Regions from separate parts of the Mus musculus genome. Here all the other regions are reported to be linked to region 3. The links are microRNA targets in miRTarBase. Many come from high-throughput screens and were not tested one by one. Region 3 holds a microRNA gene; each other region holds the end of a gene's coding sequence.
The links. The annotated mature microRNA mmu-miR-1970 reads UGUGUCACUGGGGAUAGGCUUUG and lies in region 3 at 1,082-1,104, opposite strand. An mRNA with a match to its seed (bases 2 to 7 or 8) in the 3' UTR can be bound and repressed. Matches are read on the target gene's strand: a 7mer-m8 pairs with bases 2 to 8, a 7mer-A1 pairs with bases 2 to 7 and ends in A, and an 8mer does both.

Region 1: the mRNA of Gask1a is a reported target of mmu-miR-1970. Seed matches in the 3' UTR shown: 7mer-A1 at 3,322-3,328.
Region 2: the mRNA of Epha7 is a reported target of mmu-miR-1970. Seed matches in the 3' UTR shown: 8mer at 2,520-2,527.
Region 4: the mRNA of Rcn3 is a reported target of mmu-miR-1970. Seed matches in the 3' UTR shown: 7mer-m8 at 3,450-3,456.

The regions. Positions count from the first base shown.
Region 1 is chr9:121,978,043-121,982,208 of GRCm38, reverse strand. It overlaps Gask1a (golgi associated kinase 1A), which reads right to left. Exons shown (of 5, transcript NM_177743.5): 5 at 2,001-3,987. The coding sequence ends at 3,777. Pomgnt2 (protein O-linked mannose beta 1,4-N-acetylglucosaminyltransferase 2) reads left to right here. Exons shown (of 2, transcript NM_153540.4): 2 at 1-603. The coding sequence ends at 238. Among named protein-coding and RNA genes, the nearest start is that of Gm39463, 16 kb to the left of the region's middle.
Region 2 is chr4:28,963,588-28,967,753 of GRCm38, reverse strand. It overlaps Epha7 (Eph receptor A7), which reads right to left. Exons shown (of 17, transcript NM_010141.4): 17 at 251-3,865. The coding sequence ends at 3,751. Among named protein-coding and RNA genes, the nearest start is that of Gm11917, 100 kb to the left of the region's middle.
Region 3 is chrX:135,785,093-135,789,258 of GRCm38, forward strand. It overlaps Mir1970 (microRNA 1970), which reads right to left and starts at 1,125; the gene lies at 1,022-1,125. All of the region lies in intron 4 of Gprasp1 (G protein-coupled receptor associated sorting protein 1), which reads left to right.
Region 4 is chr7:45,079,597-45,083,762 of GRCm38, forward strand. Rcn3 (reticulocalbin 3, EF-hand calcium binding domain) reads right to left here. Exons shown (of 7, transcript NM_026555.2): 6 at 3,970-4,166; 7 at 3,318-3,767. The coding sequence ends at 3,660. Among named protein-coding and RNA genes, the nearest start is that of Rcn3, 11 kb to the right of the region's middle.

The sequences.
Region 1 (4,166 bases), not on the chromosome of region 3:
GTCTGTGTCCTGGCAGATCCCGTGGAACCTCAAGTACCTGAAAGTGAGGGAGGTGAAATACGAGGTGTGGCTGCAGGAGCAAGGGGAGAACACGTATGTGCCTTACATGCTGACCCTGCAGAACCACACCTTCACAGAGAACATCAAACCTTTTACCACCTACCTGGTGTGGGTCCGCTGTATATTTAACAGGAGCCTCCTGGGACCTTTTGCAGATGTGCTGGTGTGCAGCACGTAGCCAGCAGACCATGGCCAGGCCTCTGGAGGGCACCTCTCGCAGCTCAGCTTTCCCAGGTCCACAGTTCTGCTAGCAGCTGTGGTGATAAATTATCTATTTATTGAGTAGGCTTGCACTAAGCCTGCTTCCCGAGTGTGCTTTTTGCAGATTTCTCTAGCTCTGAAGAGGTGGTGCCTGCCAGGGCCCGGGGATCTGCTCTTGCTAATAACCATGCTGTTTCCTGCTTTGGCCTTGGTGTAGGTCCTGGCCTCGAGAAACAGTGGTCACGTGGTTGGTGGGCTAGGCAGATAATCTTTGAATTTCATCTGTAGCTGAGTGACAGGTGTGTTTGGAGCAGTCATTAAATGATTATGAACATCTTGCCCAAGTCTTTTTCTGATGCCTTGTTAGCATGCACGAATTATACCTCGTAATAGGTTTTATGCAATGTTTTAGGGCATGTTTATAATGCACTTCAATACTGTTCACCTCATTAGCCTTTCCTGCCCCCTCCCACCGAGCTTTTCCTCTTTCCAACCCACCCCTCTTATTTTCAAGTCCCTTCGTGTCTTTATTTATGAGTCAACAAGTTTCTTAGGGTCGCTGACAAGCACATGGGTGAGGTTTTGTCTGCAAGGGCAACACCGTTGACTACACAACTAAAAAAAATGTCTCCTTTCAGACACTGACCTATAAATCCTCAGGGAGCCGTGCGGCCCTATTAGCTCCTCCCATTTCCATGACGAGGTAGAGATAGGCCAGATCATGGTTGGTCATCACAGCTGCTGTGAGTTCAAGAGTGCAGCAGCCTAGTCAGACCCAGAAGTCTGTGTTCCACTCCCCAGCCACCCATTCTTCTTGCCCCTTCCAGATATTCCTCGAGCCTGGGCGAGGCTGACATAGCTGCCCATGGATGAACACTTGGTAGTTACTCTCAGCACCGTAACCAGTTATGAGTCTCCAGGGACTGCTGGCACGGCAAACTTGACAGAGCGGGCGGCAGCACTGGTCTGTAGGCATGAAATTTTTTAGAAGATAATTTTGTAGGTGTGTCCTATCCATGAAGCACAGTGGCAGTAGCTTCCCTGTGAGAGAGAGCCCATGCCCTCCCCACCCACAGGCTTTTAACAGGTTCCAGCGTCAAACCTGAATTCCCTCCCGTGGAATGGTTCTCAAATCCAACCAGGAGGCAGTTGGTTTCCCCATAACAGACCTGTCCCTGTAGCATCAGTGGGCCCATCTTGCCTAGCTGTTGGCTACTATCTGCAGCCACAAAAGGTGGCTGATATGCCCCCGGCCAGCAGCCCGCACAACACTTTATACTGTGAGGGCTGGCGAGCAGGGGGGAAGTTCCGTTTCCATCTCGATTTCTCTGTGTCCTGCGACAGGTGTTTGGTGTTTTCAGCAGAAGGGTTTCATCATCATATTCTGGTGGGCAACAGGTGATTGCCTGTATTTGGGAGTGGTCTAAGGAGCCAACTTAAGCTACAGCTCAGAGAGTGTCGTTGGGCACATCTTATTGGATAGCAAGAAGCAGAGTTGACAGTCAGTACTTTTAATTTTGGTTGTCAAGGAGATGACATGGTAGGCTAGTGTCAGGACCGTGAAGGGAGAATGCTGGGTAGAGCTCCTTTGATGTGCCAGGTACATCACGCAGGCGGTGAAGAGGAGAGCGTCCTTTGGGGATATCCATAATACCCATGTTTGTCCTGGGTAGTGCCTGGCGGAGTGTTCTCCCTGATCATAGTGAAACCATAGATGCGCTCTCATTAAAGTCAGGAGTGAGATGTGGCTGAGCCTTTTTTAATCTCAAACAACAAAACAAGACCCAACCAAAGCCCTAAAACAGTATATATAAGGAGAAATTAAAACATAAAACTGAAAATTTGGTTTTCTACTGAAAGACTAGTAAGAGGCATATAAATATTTATCTAGAGGGCTTAAAGAGAGAACTCAGCAGCGATGCGGAGAAGCAAACTTCAGTTGCTGGCACTCATGAGGCAGCTCACGACCATTGTAACTCCAGTTCCAGAGGCCTCGGTTACCTCTGCTGTCTTCTGTGGGCACTGTGCGTGTACAGTGCACAAATGTGCATGCAGACAAAACACTCGTATACAAAAAAGAGATGTTTAAGTGGATCCTTACACCACCGAGCAGAATACAGTAACTTGGATTAGAACAGTGCCCAGTTTTGAAGCAGGCTCTTAAGAAACCCTGTGAGTGCAGCCCAGCACAGCTCACAAAAGGGCCTGTGTGTGCTTGGTTTTTATCTGATAAAAGTATACTTTCAGATGGGAACAGAATAGACTCTTGAATGGAATCTGGGGCAGTGAAACCAAAGTGATCTCTCAGATGGGGTTCATACAAATGAGCAGTCATGTAAAAGAGGTAAATAAATGACATTTCAATGACCGGAGGAGCAGAGCCGTTCTGAGAGGCTCGCAGGCTAACATGAACAAACTGGGCTGCACAGAATTACGGCTTCCTATTTCACAAAAGACAAACAGGTCAAGTCCCAAGTGGGAGACTGAGGGGAACCATGGGCAAGTCTAACAGCCAGGGCTGAGTGCAGCTCAGATTCAAAGCTCTCTTGTGCACAAACAGAACAGTCAGCCTAAAACACACAATGGCTAGCATGAAAGTGAAGATAACATCTATGTAATGAAGGGGACTTGGGTTTTATAATAGTCTTCTCCCTGCTGGAGGGATGGCTCAATGGTTTAGGGCATCTGTTGCTCTCAGAAGGGTCTACAAAGAGTTCATCTCAGCATCTGTACGCGGTGGCACACAACCACTCCAGTAACTCCAGTTCCAATGAATCTGCTGTCCTCTTCTGGCTTCCATAGTCACCTTCACACACGTGGTATATACTCACAGACATAAACATAAATAAAAATAAAATTAGTGCCTGGAGAAATGGCTCAGTGGTTAAGAGCACTGCCTGCTCTTCCAGAGGATCCAGGTTCAATTCTTAGAACCCACATGGTAGCTCACAATTATCTGTAACTCAAGTCCCTGAGGTTTGACACCCTCCTCTGGCTTCTGCAGACACTAGGTACACACATGGTACAAAATGTGTGTGTGTGTGTGTGTGTGTGTGTGTGTGTGTCAGAGAAAACACCCATGCACATAAATATAAATTTTGAAATTAAAATAATGAATCTTAAAAACTAGACTTCTCTGGTATGTAGTTCAGCTGGTAGAGTGCTTGCCTAGGATGCATGATGTTGTTCAGGCACATACCTACATATCTCTGCACACATGCACACAGCACTGCATGCGCATGTGCAGGGAACAGTTCATGAACATTCTTGAACATATTTATTGGTGCGTGAGAGTAAACTGCCAGAGCATGGAGACGGCAGGCCCTCCATCATCTTCAGCAGGTGACCTGTCCCACGGTGAGGTAGGATCCTCCAGCCTTGGCTCTCCCCATTTGTCATCAGGATGACCAACTACTGTCACAGAAATGCTGTCATTGAGAGGGACGCGCACCAGCTGAGGTTTACATTGTGTGAAGTTCTCCAGCAAGGTGTGCTCGGCCCAGGCAGCCTTGGGCTCACGGGTCCTTGTCCCTGAACAGTGTGAGGTTGTGCTTCTTAATGTGTCTCAGCAGGATCTGTCCCCGACTCTCCAGAGTCTCAAGGACATGCTTCAGACCTGCAGCTCCACCTTGGCTCTCCCAGAACACCTGGTCCATCTGCAGCGACTTGAACAGCAGGTTCTGTAGACACCCTGATGCAAGAACCTTCACAGCGGACTCTGGAAACCTGGATCCAGAGCCCCAGAGCCCCAGAGCCCCAGAGGGAAAGGCATTAAGTCAGCTCAGAGTCCCCACAAAGTGTGAATCCAGAACTTGCCCAGCTGGGGAATGCAGCACAGTCAGTCAGGGCAGGACAGGCCTGTGCCTACTAGCTCCTTATCAGGTAGTTCTCTCAGATGGGTCCCA
Region 2 (4,166 bases), not on the chromosome of region 3:
TCAGGAACAAACAAAACCAGGTTTTAACTCAAATGTTCAACAATCTGGCCCTTTGTAAACAGTCTTGTTATCCCATAATAAATGATTAGAGTGAAATTAGGTCAGTATCCATGTGGGGGAGTAAGGATAATCAGTTTATTCATATTCTGATCAGCCCACTCAACTATTTTCTCAAAATCTGATTAGCTAGGAAAGGAAAGCATAAGGAATGTGAAGGAACCCACCAATGACTGGAGACAGGATTTTCTTTACATTGTCTAATAGACTCGTTTATTATTTTAAGCTGGTAAAAAGAGACTTATGATTCGTGTTGAAGAAAGAGTTATTTGTGCTTGATACATTGAAGACACTGTTCAAAAGCATTTTTTTTTTTGTCCTTATAAAAGGATGACCCCTGTAGTATTTCTTAGGCAAGGAGGGACAAAATTCAACCAACAAAAAGCATATTTCGCCCCAAGTTCCCCATGATTTCTCCACATATAGCAAAAAAATACACATCAGTTATTCGTTGGAACATGCACATTGGAGAGCAGTACAGTTCTGGGCTGCTCAGGAAACAAAAGGGAAGGGATCAGCATTACCTAAATAAAAGAGAGGTGACTTACACCCTTTCCATTGTCTTAAAAACACCAAGAAGAGGAGCAATTAAAATAGAGTCCTAAAGAGTGCTAGCTAATGTAGATTACATAAGTATACAATATGATTCTACTAACAGTGCTCTGAGAAGCATGAGCCAGCCACCAGTCTAGTAAACAGGGCCCTGATCCACTGCTGAGAAAATATTAGCTCCCAATGTAAGAAGTTACTTGAATGTATCTCAGTACTGAACGCAAACCAGGTGGTTTGGGTGGGCGGTGTTCTATAAAAGGCGGCTGTATTAAAGCAAGGAGGCCATTTCCTGTTGCGTGTTCTATACTTTTGGAATTCTCTGTTGGGCGTTTGCTTTCTCTACTTCCCCCCCCCTCCCCTGAGCACTAATTATCAAAAAAGATTTCAAGGTGCAAGTTGTACATTCTCATCGCAATAGCATCTCATCTCTTTCCGGAAGAGAGGATTACAGTCAGGTTCACAATGCTAATTCCTTATCTCTTCCCGTTTGCTTCGTGTACGCGTACTTCAAAATCATAGTGTTGATTAGGAAAAGAGACCTACAAACGAGAGCACGATGCAATCATCCACTTCTTATTGTGCTGTGTCTTTTCCATCCCGTCTCCCCTTTCCCTGTAAAGAGCTGTAAAAAATTTAAGGCAGATGAGGTATATTGCTGAAGGAAAAAGTTATTTCTTGAAAAGAAAACCCAAAAAAACCACTTTTATTCTGCCCTTCTACTCAAGAAAGACTACTCAACTATAAATCTATTACTAGAAAAAGCAGGAAAGACTCTGTCTGCATGTACCATACTGCGTCTTCTATTTCTAGAATGGCTTTTTTGTTAATTTAATTTTTAATAGAAAAAATAAGCACCTTAAGCTATGAACAAGAAAAGAACTTCATTATTAGTGAGTCCGGAATCCAAACGGAATTAGAGAACACTCGCTCAAGCTCGCACTCATTCGCACAAAGGCCAACGCTACTGATTAGAATTGTAAAGTGCTATACTGAGGTTAAACACTTTTGTATACACTGCAGACACTGAAAAATAACCCTCAAGCACATTGTGTTATAGTTCCAAAAATATATTTACAGTCTATTACAAAGATTACAAATGGAAGTGTCTAGGGTGACTGGATTATGCTAATTAAAACTATTTTTACAGATTATTTTTTTTCCTAAGGGACAAAAAACATTTTAGAGAAATTAAAATGAGTTTTCTACTCAATCAAAAAATAAATTAAAATATCAAATAACACTGTACAGTGATAAAAAGGAAAAAGAAGGATAGGGCGGGGCTTGGGACGCAATCCATTTGAGTTTTCTATAGCCATCTTTGGTCCTAAATGTGGGAAAACACAATAAGTAGCACTGAAAATACCTGTTTCTTTGTGAAGCTCTGCAAGTAAAATAGAAAAATATAGAGCATTTTCATGTCCTCGGAGCCACGACTGAGAAATGTGTATACAAAACAAGACGGTATAAATAAAATTTACAAGTTTTACAAAGGAACATTTACAGATTTTGCTTGTTACCTGTTCTTGTTTGTTTGTTTGTTTGTTTGATTGTTTGTGGATGTCCACATGACCAAACAACACCAATTAGGACCGATCCCTGGGATCTTTCTCTAGTAAAATCATTATAAACAGCCCAATTTTCTTTGGAAGTACAACAGTTCAGTTTTGGGGTAGTTCATGATTTTTGTAACTTTTGAAAACATTACTCAAATATGTATACATTCCTGAAATAGCTATAAAGACACATTTAATTATTGCTTATGAAATTCAAACACAGTAACCAAATAATATGGTCTGATAAATAAAGTGGAAACAGAAAAGCCAGACCCTTTACTTCTTCCTTCTGGGGTAAAAGAGTTTTGACCTAAAAGGGTTTGTGTGTGTGTGTGTGTGTGTGTGTGTGTGTGTGTGTGTGTCACTGTTCATAGATAAAATACCTCTGTGTTGCTTTCTTCTCACTGCATTGGTGGAAATATTTGCGGCTAGTTTGTCTGTGAGTGGTGAGAAGAGAATGGCCCCTGTGATCTTGCTTCAGAGTAACAATAGAAAACTGAATTCCTTACTTTTGTATTTGGACTGCATTCAACAAGAAAGAATACAAAATATAGGTCAACTATGTTCCTAAATTTCTTACTGTCACAAGACTGAAGCTCTTGATGTGCTCGGATTGGGTTAGCCAAAGCTGGAGAGCTTCGCTTCCAGTCTTGCTTTCACCAGCATCTTCAGACGAAGCTCAGCCTTTTATCATATACACATAAACCTAAAATTTGACATCTCTCTTTTTTTTTTATTAAATTCTGCCTAGTAAATCACTCTATAAACAATCTGTTAAAAGTGCCTTATAGTATTTATGGATCATTATTGCTTTCTTTTTTTTTTTTTTTTTCATTGAAAAGTTAGTATGTTGTCTGATTTTTACAAAGAAAAAAAAATCCTGTTAAAAAATATCAGAGCTCTTGGCAACTTGCAATTTTGAACTACCTGCCAATCAGCAAACAATATGAAAACATCACTGGTTTAACAAAATGACACAGCCAGGATACCAAAGCCATGAAGGACAAAGTCCCATCCTCGACTATGTGCGTAGTTTTGCTTTCCTTTAAGTTTGAGAGTCTTCAAAGGTACCCAGTGTAGTAACGTGTCATAAATTTAACACTAAAAAGGTCCAAAGCTACAAATAACTTTCTAAAACAAAGTCCTTAAGCAGAATAAACACAGATGGTTCTGGAAAAGAATAGTCTGAAATCACATATTTTAAGGAAAATATTTCATTGATTTTAACAATAAGATCATGATTTTTATTTGACAAATATATTCTTTCTTAAATTCTTTATGTACATTTTTAAAAAGTCTATAAGATAAAAAGGAGGTTCGAGAGCTCAAGGTGTTGGGATGTTTTTCAGGTAGTACTTTGTTTATTGTCTCTGCTGTGTTCCTGGCCACCAGTGGTGGATCCTAAATTCCCTTTTTGTATATTCTGGTGGCACTTAGGAGTTCAAGTCTGGAGGTGCTTCTAAAATCTTCTCTTTCTTGTAGGAAGGACCCAGTATATCAACTGTCTTCTAGCAGCATTCTATGCGTATACTGAAGGCCAGAACTGTTCTCCTGCAGTCTTAAGCCTCATCTGAGGGAGGCCGATGTGTCACACTTGGATGCCTGTTCCGTGTAAATGCAACATTTGTGCCCGCATAGTCTGGATGCTGCTCATGATCTTCTTTTGATGGCCAACCAGTGTGATCCCTAAACTCATCACATCACTGAAAAAGACAAGGGCACGCTTATCAGATCCATGACAAAGAACAGAACGTGCTCTGCGTGCTTCTTCACAGTCACTCACGCTTTCTACTACCTGTTGGCTGACGCACACTAACAGTACTCTTGGGTGCTATACAGTCTTACTCTAAAGAAGATGCTGACGTATTTGGACAGTCTCATTTGAAAATACTGGATGAACAAGTCTGTCTCGTAGTTTACCATACTGTTGCTTTTTAACTCATCCTAAGATTTTATTTTAAAAGGCAATGGAATGTTACCTGAAACACTGGGCATTGTAAATTA
Region 3 (4,166 bases):
CATCTGTAGTTTTTCTTTTATGTAACATAAAATAGGTATACTTTCCTGAGTGTATTTGGTTTATGATTTACATTTATTGTGTCATTTTTTAAAATATCCATCTGTCTAGTGTGTTTTGCTAAAGGTCTGCTTTGGTTTTCTTTTTATTTAAATGCCCTGATCAACTACTGTGTTACTTGCTATTAGAACAAGAAGGGGGGCTGGGGGGATACATGTCATCATGCCTATCTAGTTTCCTTTAAGGAATAGCAAGGAGCACAATTCACAGCTTTTCTAAGATGCTAGAGATTCTTGGTAGTATGAAGTACCAGTCTAGGCCAGTTCATAATTTAATTACTATCTGTTTTGATGATGCCTCCAAAGTAGGATTGATACTACTAAAGTATTGCTATGCTAAAGCAGTTTGGTATTTTTTTTTACTGCAGTTATTAGCTCAGTTAAGCTGAGCTTTAGTCCTGTGATGTACAACTTGGATTCATGATCCCTAATGGAAAGGTTTAGTTACTTGTCATATAACAGAGTGACAATAAGGCTTTCCCTCATTTGGGTTTTAGAATAACATGAATGGTGTTTTGTAACTCATAATATTTTTACTTCTAAAACCAGCATCTTTTTTCACAGGTATTGATATTGTCAAGGTGCCTTAACTGTGGCTCACATAATGTTTATGACTGTATCTTATGCCTTCTCTAGACAGCTACTCATTGTTTTGTTTTGTTTTTTAAAAAAGCTATTTCTATGTATGGAAGATGAAGGAGAATAACTCTAAATGATCATTTGAGAAAGGGATATTGCTTCTGGATTCTGACATGAGGAAAAATGCTATTCGCTATTCCAATGATCATTTACTCTAACAAGTACCTAGTATGTCCCAGTCAGTGTTCATTGCTGTGAAGAGACAGCATGTCCACGGAAACTCTTATGAAAGGAAATATTTAATTAGGGCTTGCTTACATTTTCAGAGGCTTAGTTCATTTTCATCTTAGCAGGGAGCATGGCAACATGCAGGCACATATGCAGAAGGATCTGCAGGCAACAGGAAGAGTGAGTGCCACTAGGCCTGACTGAGCTTCTGAAACCTCAAAGCCTATCCCCAGTGACACATTTCCTCCAACAATGCACATCCACTCCAATAAGGCTATACCTCCTAATCTTTCTCAAGTAGTATCACTCCCTAATGGCCAAGCATTCAAATGTATAAGCCTATGGGAGCTATTCCTATTCAAACCACCACATTACACTCCCTGGCCCTCATATGCTTGAAGCCATATCATAATGCAAATATACGTTCGGTCCAACTTCAAAAGTCCCCATAACTTAAAACAGTCTCAAAACTGTTTAAAAGTCCAAAATTCAAAGTCACTTCTAAAACTTCATAGCATCTCTTAACTGTAACCCCCCCCCCCATAAAATCAAAATCAAAAAGCAGATCACATACTTCCAACATATAATAGCACAGGATATAGATATTACCATTCCAAAAGGAAGGCAAGGGAACATAGTGAGGAAATACTGGACCAAAGCAAGACTGAAAGCTTGCTTGCACCTCCATGTCTAATGTCAAAGCGCTCTTCAGGTCTCCAAGTCCTTTCTGCTTTGTTGAATGCACTTCTTCCTCTTGGACTGGTCGACACTCTGATAGAAGCTCTCCTTGGCAGGTATCCCATGACACTGGCATCTCAGCTCCAACATCTTGGGGTCTCCAACACAATCCAGACTTCACTTTCACAGCTTCACTCAGTGGCCTTTCTGGGCCTCCATGCAGGGACACCCCTGACATATGCCTGAACTCAACAGCTTTTGCTAGCTATGGAGGGAGGTTCCATAACCCCTTACCTCCAAAGCCAGAACTACATGGCTGTGGCTGCCACATTCTGCTGTTTGCTGGGGCTGGAACTTGGCCCCCTCATTCAATTACATCTACATCAGATTTCTATTATTGATGGTTTCCTTTACTGCTTAAGTTTTTCTTTAACACCTTTTCCCAAGTCGGAGCTCAGCAGAGTGGGACCTTATCCTGAGGTCACCACTCACTTAAATCCATTTAACACCAGGCTTTTCTTTAAACTATTTTATTTCCTTGAGCACCGGTGCTCCCTTCTCCTCAAATTGTACTTTTTAGTATTTTGCCTTGCTTGTTTTCATTATTCATCTGCATAATCTCTTCTGCCAATGTCATTAATTCAAAACTCTTCAATTTAGCCTCAGGCATATTTTTCAGACAGGGGAAGAAAGCAGCCATATTCTTTGCCAAAATATTACAAGAATGTTCTTTAGTCCTCTTACTACTATTCTTTTCCTCTGAGACCTCTTGAGCCAGGCCCCCACATTTCCATATCATCCTCACTACCACTGTGCTCCATGCTTCTGCGACAATGGCCCATTAAAGCCCCACTTAAAGTGTTCAGTTGCTTTTCTAGTGCAAAGTCCATATTCCACCAACAAGCAGCATGGCCAGGCCTGTCACAGCAGTACCCAAGTCCCTGGTATCAACTCCTGTCTTAGTCAATTCAATGCTTGATTGTTGTGAAGAGACAGCAAGACAGCATGATCGTGGCAACTCATAAAGAAAGCATTTATTCAGGGCTTGCTTACAGCTCCAGAGGTTTAGTCAAGTATTGTCATGGCAGGGATCATGACAGCATGCAGGCAGACATGGTACTGGAGAAGAAGCTCTGAGTCCTATATGCAGATTTGCCGGCAGCAGGAAGAGTGAGTACCATTGGGCCTGGTTTGGGCTTCTAAAACCTCAAAGCTCACACCCAGTAGCCCACTTCCTCCAACAAGGCCACATTTCCTCCAACTAAGGCCACACCTCTTATTCCCCGTCCTAATGACTACACCTTCAAATTGCTGAGCCTATGGAGGCCATTCCTATTCAGACCACCACATAATAGTTTATGAAAACCAACCTATATGATCCTATTACTATCTCCAAATGTGTCCAACAAAATGATTTTGCTGAAAACATTTAAAGGGTGTTTCTTACTCTGAAACTTAAAAGAAACTTAAAAGGTTAACATCTCTTTTCAAACTTTACGCTATGGTAAAAGTAATATGATTTACATAAACAACAAAAAATAACCCAGGATGTCAGAAGCTTTGAGTAGTCAATAAATTGAGTATATTATGTATCAGACCTTGTTCCTATTTCCTAGAAATCTATTATAGAAGTAAAACAAAATACCCTCTTCATAGAACTTTTAGGGGTGGAGGAAACAACAGAATTATAAATATATAATATTGAATGGTGATAACTGATACAGAGAAAAATGTTATAGCATATAAGGATAGTGGGTGTTAGAACGTAGGAATAATATTTTTGGTGGGATAGTCAGGGAAGTTCTCTTTAAGAAAGTAAAAAATGAAATGAAATGAAATGAAGAGGTAAGGCATGCTGCAGAGAGTAGTCTCTCCCTGAGAAAGAACAAATGAACTTCTTGGGTTATTTTTAAAAACAGTGTCATAACTGGTGTGGCAAAAATGAGACATCAGTGACTAGCGAATGGTAGAACTGATTGCTTAGCACGTAGAAAAGTCCCCAGTACTATAAAAAAAAGAAGAAGAAGAAGAAAGAGGCAAAGGAACGGTTAACAGAGCTGGTTGTAGCCTGTGAAAGAAGAGCCAAACCATGTGAGATAGAGATCCACTGTGAAAAGGAGTTTGTACTTTTTAAAGTCTTGTCGCAAACCATTAGGTTTTGACAAATGGATCGTTGTAATGTGACATGACTTTTTTTTCAAGGATGATCCTTGCTACTATTTGAGAAAAACTTGTGGTAGTTTGAATGAGTTTGACCCCCATCGGCCCAGAGGGAGTGGAATTATTAGGCTCCCAGTGACTATTAGCCTGCTTTGAGGTCTCTGATGCTCAAGTCACACCCGGTGTGTCACGCGCTTTCTGCTCCCTGCTGATCTGCATGTAGAACTCAGCTCCCTTTTTCAGCACCATGTGTACCTGCATGCTACCATACTTCCAGCTATGATGATACTGGACTGAACCTCGGAAACCATAAGCCAGCCTCAATTAAATGAAACCAAACATCCCACAACATTTCCCCCTTTTTGACTACACTAAAAGTTGTGTTGTACACAGTTTAACCTTTACAACAGAAACCATTATCAGTCCCACAAACTTAACCGCCCCAATGTCTTTCTGAAGAACCA
Region 4 (4,166 bases), not on the chromosome of region 3:
CAGAGCCTGGGTCCTAACTCTGGTAACCCTGACCCAATGCTTTAAGACCCATTACTTGGTTTGCTAACTTTTAAAGTTGACAAGAATAAAACTCCTAAATCCTTAAAATCCACATGGTGGGAAGAAAACACCATCACAACACATCGTCTGACCCGCACACACACAAAAAAAATTCAATAAAAATAAACAAGATGCGGGGTGTGGTGGTGCACGCCTTTAATCCCAGCACTCACGAGGCAGAGGCAGATGGATTTCTGAGTTCGAGGCCAGCCTGGTCTACAGGAATATACAGAGAAACCCTGTCTCAAAAAAAACCCCAAACAAACAAACAAGATAAACTGCCTTGAGATACTGAACCCCCCAGGGAAGCATCACGCAAGCCCCTGTAAGAGCCAGTGATTTCCCAGCCGGTAGTCCCAGAACTCGCCAGCAGAGGGCACGCGCGCCATTCCATGCCTTGGTAAGTAATTGTGTCTGCTCCGGAATACACAGACTGGGCTAAATTGGATGACATTTCCACCGGCACTTGGGGACTTTGAAGTCTCTTCTTCTGAGCTGTATGTCAAAGCCCTTGCGATGTCACCACTTTTTCTGAAGATGAGCACTGTAGATGTTATGCAGTCTGGAATGTTTAGGAAGGCACTGGCCTGGCATGGACCTCATTAAAAAATTCTGGGGTAGCCGGGCGTGGTTGGTTACGCCTTTAATCCCAGCACTTGGGAGACAGAGGCAGGGGATTTCTGAGTTCGAGGCCAGCCTGGTCTTCAGAGTGAGTTCCAGGACAGCCAGGGCTACACAGAGAAACCCTGTCTAGAAAAAACAAAACAAAACAAAAAAATTCTGGGGTTCCAACTGGGCATGGTGGTGCACACCTTTAATCTCAGCACTCAAGAGTCAGGAGAAGATTGATGTCTGAGTTCGAGGCCAGCCTGATGTACAAAATGACTTCCACGTTAGCCAAGGCTGCACAGACCGGTCTCAAAAAAAAAAAAAAAACAACAAAAAAAAAAGTTCTGTGTCCAATCTTCCAGGCAATCAGGCTTACTAGTAAACACCTTTACCCATGTGCTGGGTCGTCTGGGAAGAAAGAACCTTTTATTATTTGTTTATTTAGGAAGAGTCTTTTATTTGCTTGTTCGTTTATTATATACATTGGTTGTGTTGTCTGAGTGTGTGTGTGTGTGTGTGTCTGTGTGATCCCCTGGAAATAAAGTTGCATAGACCGTTATGAGCTGCTGTCTGGGTGCAGAGCCTTTGGAAGAACAGCTAATGCCCTTAACCCCTGAGCCATCTCTCCAGCCCCAGGAAGGAAGAATCCTTTTTTTAGATTTGTTTATCACGTATACAATGTTCTGCCTGCATGCATGCCTGCATCCCAGAAGAGGGCATCAGATCCCATTACAGATGGTTGTGAGCCACCATGTGTTGCTGGGAACTCAGGACCTCTAGAAGAGCAGTCGGTGCTTTTAACTGCTGAGCCATCTCTCCAGCCCCAGGCAGAAAGATTTTAGTTGAGAAAAGGCCTCCATAACGTTGGCATGTAGACAAGTCTGTGGAGTTTTTCCTGAATGATGATTGGTGTAGGAAGGGTCAGCCCATTATGGGCGGGGCCACCCTGACCAGGTTCTTCTGGGTGCTGTAAGAAAGCAGGCTGAGCAAGGCCTGGGGCACAAGCCAGTCAGCCAGTATCCTCCAAGGCTTCTGCATCAGCTCCCGCCCCAACTTCCCGGAATGATGAGCAGTGGTCTGAAATAAGCCTTTTTTTCCTCAGGTTCCTTTTTCTCACAGTGTTTAATCCCCAGGACACTTGCTGAGCTATGCAGCCAGCACCCACACCCCACTGCTTATTTTATTTGTGTGAGTGTGTAAACGAGTGCCCTGAGAGGCCAGAAAATTCATGAGATTGCTCTGGGATGGAGTCCCAGGCACACGTGAACTGCCTGGCATGGGTGCTGGGGTCCCAACACTAGGATCCATCTGCAGGACACACACACACATACACACGCATGCACATGCATACACATGCATGCACACACATGCACATACACTTTTCTTTCTTTCTCTCTTTTTTTATGACTTTTTCTTTTTCTTTTTTTTTTTTAGATTTATTTATTATATGTAAGTACACTGTAGCTGTCTTCAGACACACCAGAAGAGGGCGTCAGGTCTTGTTAGGATGGTTGTGAGCCACCATGTGGTTGCTGGGGTTTGAACTCAGGACCTTTGGAAGAGCAGTCAGTGCTCTTAACCGCTAAGCTTGCTCTCTCTCTCTCTCTCTCCCTTCCAATTCCTTTCTTTTTTTCTTTTATTTTTTTTCCCGAGACAGGGTTTTCTCTGTGCAGTCCTGGCTGTCCTGGAACTCACTCTGTAGACCAGGCTGGCCTTGAACTCAGAAATCTGCCTGCCTCTGCCTCCTAAATGCTGGGATTAAAGGCGTGCACAACCGCTGCCCGGTTGATTGTTTTTCATGACACAGTTTCTCTGTGTGACAGTCCTGGCTATCCTAGAACTGGCTTTGTAGACTAGGCTGGCCTCAAATTCAGAGATCTGTCTGTCTCTGTCTCCCAAATGTTAGGACTAAAAGTGTGTGCCATCGCCTGGCTTTTTTATTTTTTTGCACCCCTTCCGCTTTTAAATTAAAATATAATTACATTTTATTTCCCCCCTTTTCCCTCCAACCTTTTTTTTTAAACAAACAAACAAAACCAAACAGGCCAGACATGAACACCCGGACGTCCTCCTGCGCTAGACTCTGCCCTCGCGTTGCTGTATTACGGGTGTATATCACTCTCCGTGTGGCTCAATGCAGCTGACACAGAGGCGCTTTCCCTCCTCATTCCTGGCTATTCCATTTTCAGAACCCTCACCGCGGGGTGTTTCACTGAGAGCTGTGGTTGTTTCTCCAGCTGTGGTTTTGTGCTTCCCCACCCTGGAGCACTTAGGGGCGGGCTGCATTTCCTGCCTGGCTTTCCTGCGGCCCCCAGGCTGCTGGCTTTATTCTCGGCCTCTGGGAACGCCCTCAAACGTCCACTAACACCCATCTCGCATGCCCAGATGCCCGAGAGCAGTGCTCCTCAACCTTTAACACAGTTCCTCTTGTTTTGACGGATCTCCACCAACCATAAAATCATTTTTGTTGCTATTGCCTAACGGTGATTTTGCTGTTATGAATCGTAATGTATGTGACCCTGTGGAGGGGACATCACCGCTGGACTACGCCCTCTTGAGGCCCTCCGCACTCAGCGCCAGCATGCTCCTCCATCTCCTCACAGTATCCTTCCCCCCACCCACAGATAGACAGACAGACAGACAGACAGAGCAGGGGACCCCAGCAACAGCTTTTATTGCTCCTAGGCAGGACAGGTTAGCTTGTGCTGTTGACATTCAGAGTTCAAATTGCGGTTAGGTCAGGATGTGGCCCCGCGTCAGTGCTGGGATGCTATCAGTGGGTGTCACTTATCTTTGAGTGCCTGAGTATCCTGGGCAGGTTGGGGGGTCCCAGGGTTGGTGACAGGGGTCTCAGGGAGAGAAGGTGACTGAGGGCCCAAGAACCAGGAACACCAGAGCTGAGTCTGTGTCCTGGGGGCGGGGCTGGCTGCAGTGGCCCCGCGGTTGTCCCCCATGTGGTCATGTGGTCGGAAGTCTGAGAGACATGGGGATCAGAGCTCATCATGGTGCCTTGTCAGGTCCTCACCGTAGTTGGTGGCCTGGCTGCCCACAAACATGTTCCAGTTGCTCAAGATCTCAGCTTTGCTCAGCCGGCCATCCTGTGGGCAGAGTGGTCAGCAGGAGGCAGGGCCCACGGGGGACATCCCCACCAGGCTGTCCCTAGGGCCCCTCCTCTGCCTGGCTTCTCTCCTCTAGGCCTCGGCCCCCATCTGTTTCTCCGGATCTGTCTCTAGGTCTCTTTCCGTTTCTCTCTCTGTTTCCGGACCCACCTGCGTGCAGGCAGTAGTAGCCCAGGCTCACCTTGTCCGTGTCGCTCTCATGCAGCAGGTGGTTGGCCTCCACCAGGGGCTGGTCCTGGGATGGAGGCAGCACCCAGTAACCGACTTCACTGCCATCCAGTCGCCCGTCCTTGTTCAGATCCCGGAACTCTCGGAACTGCTGCCGCTCTGTCTGCACCCAGGCAGGTTCCTCCTCCCCAGGCTCCTCGGAGTACAGGT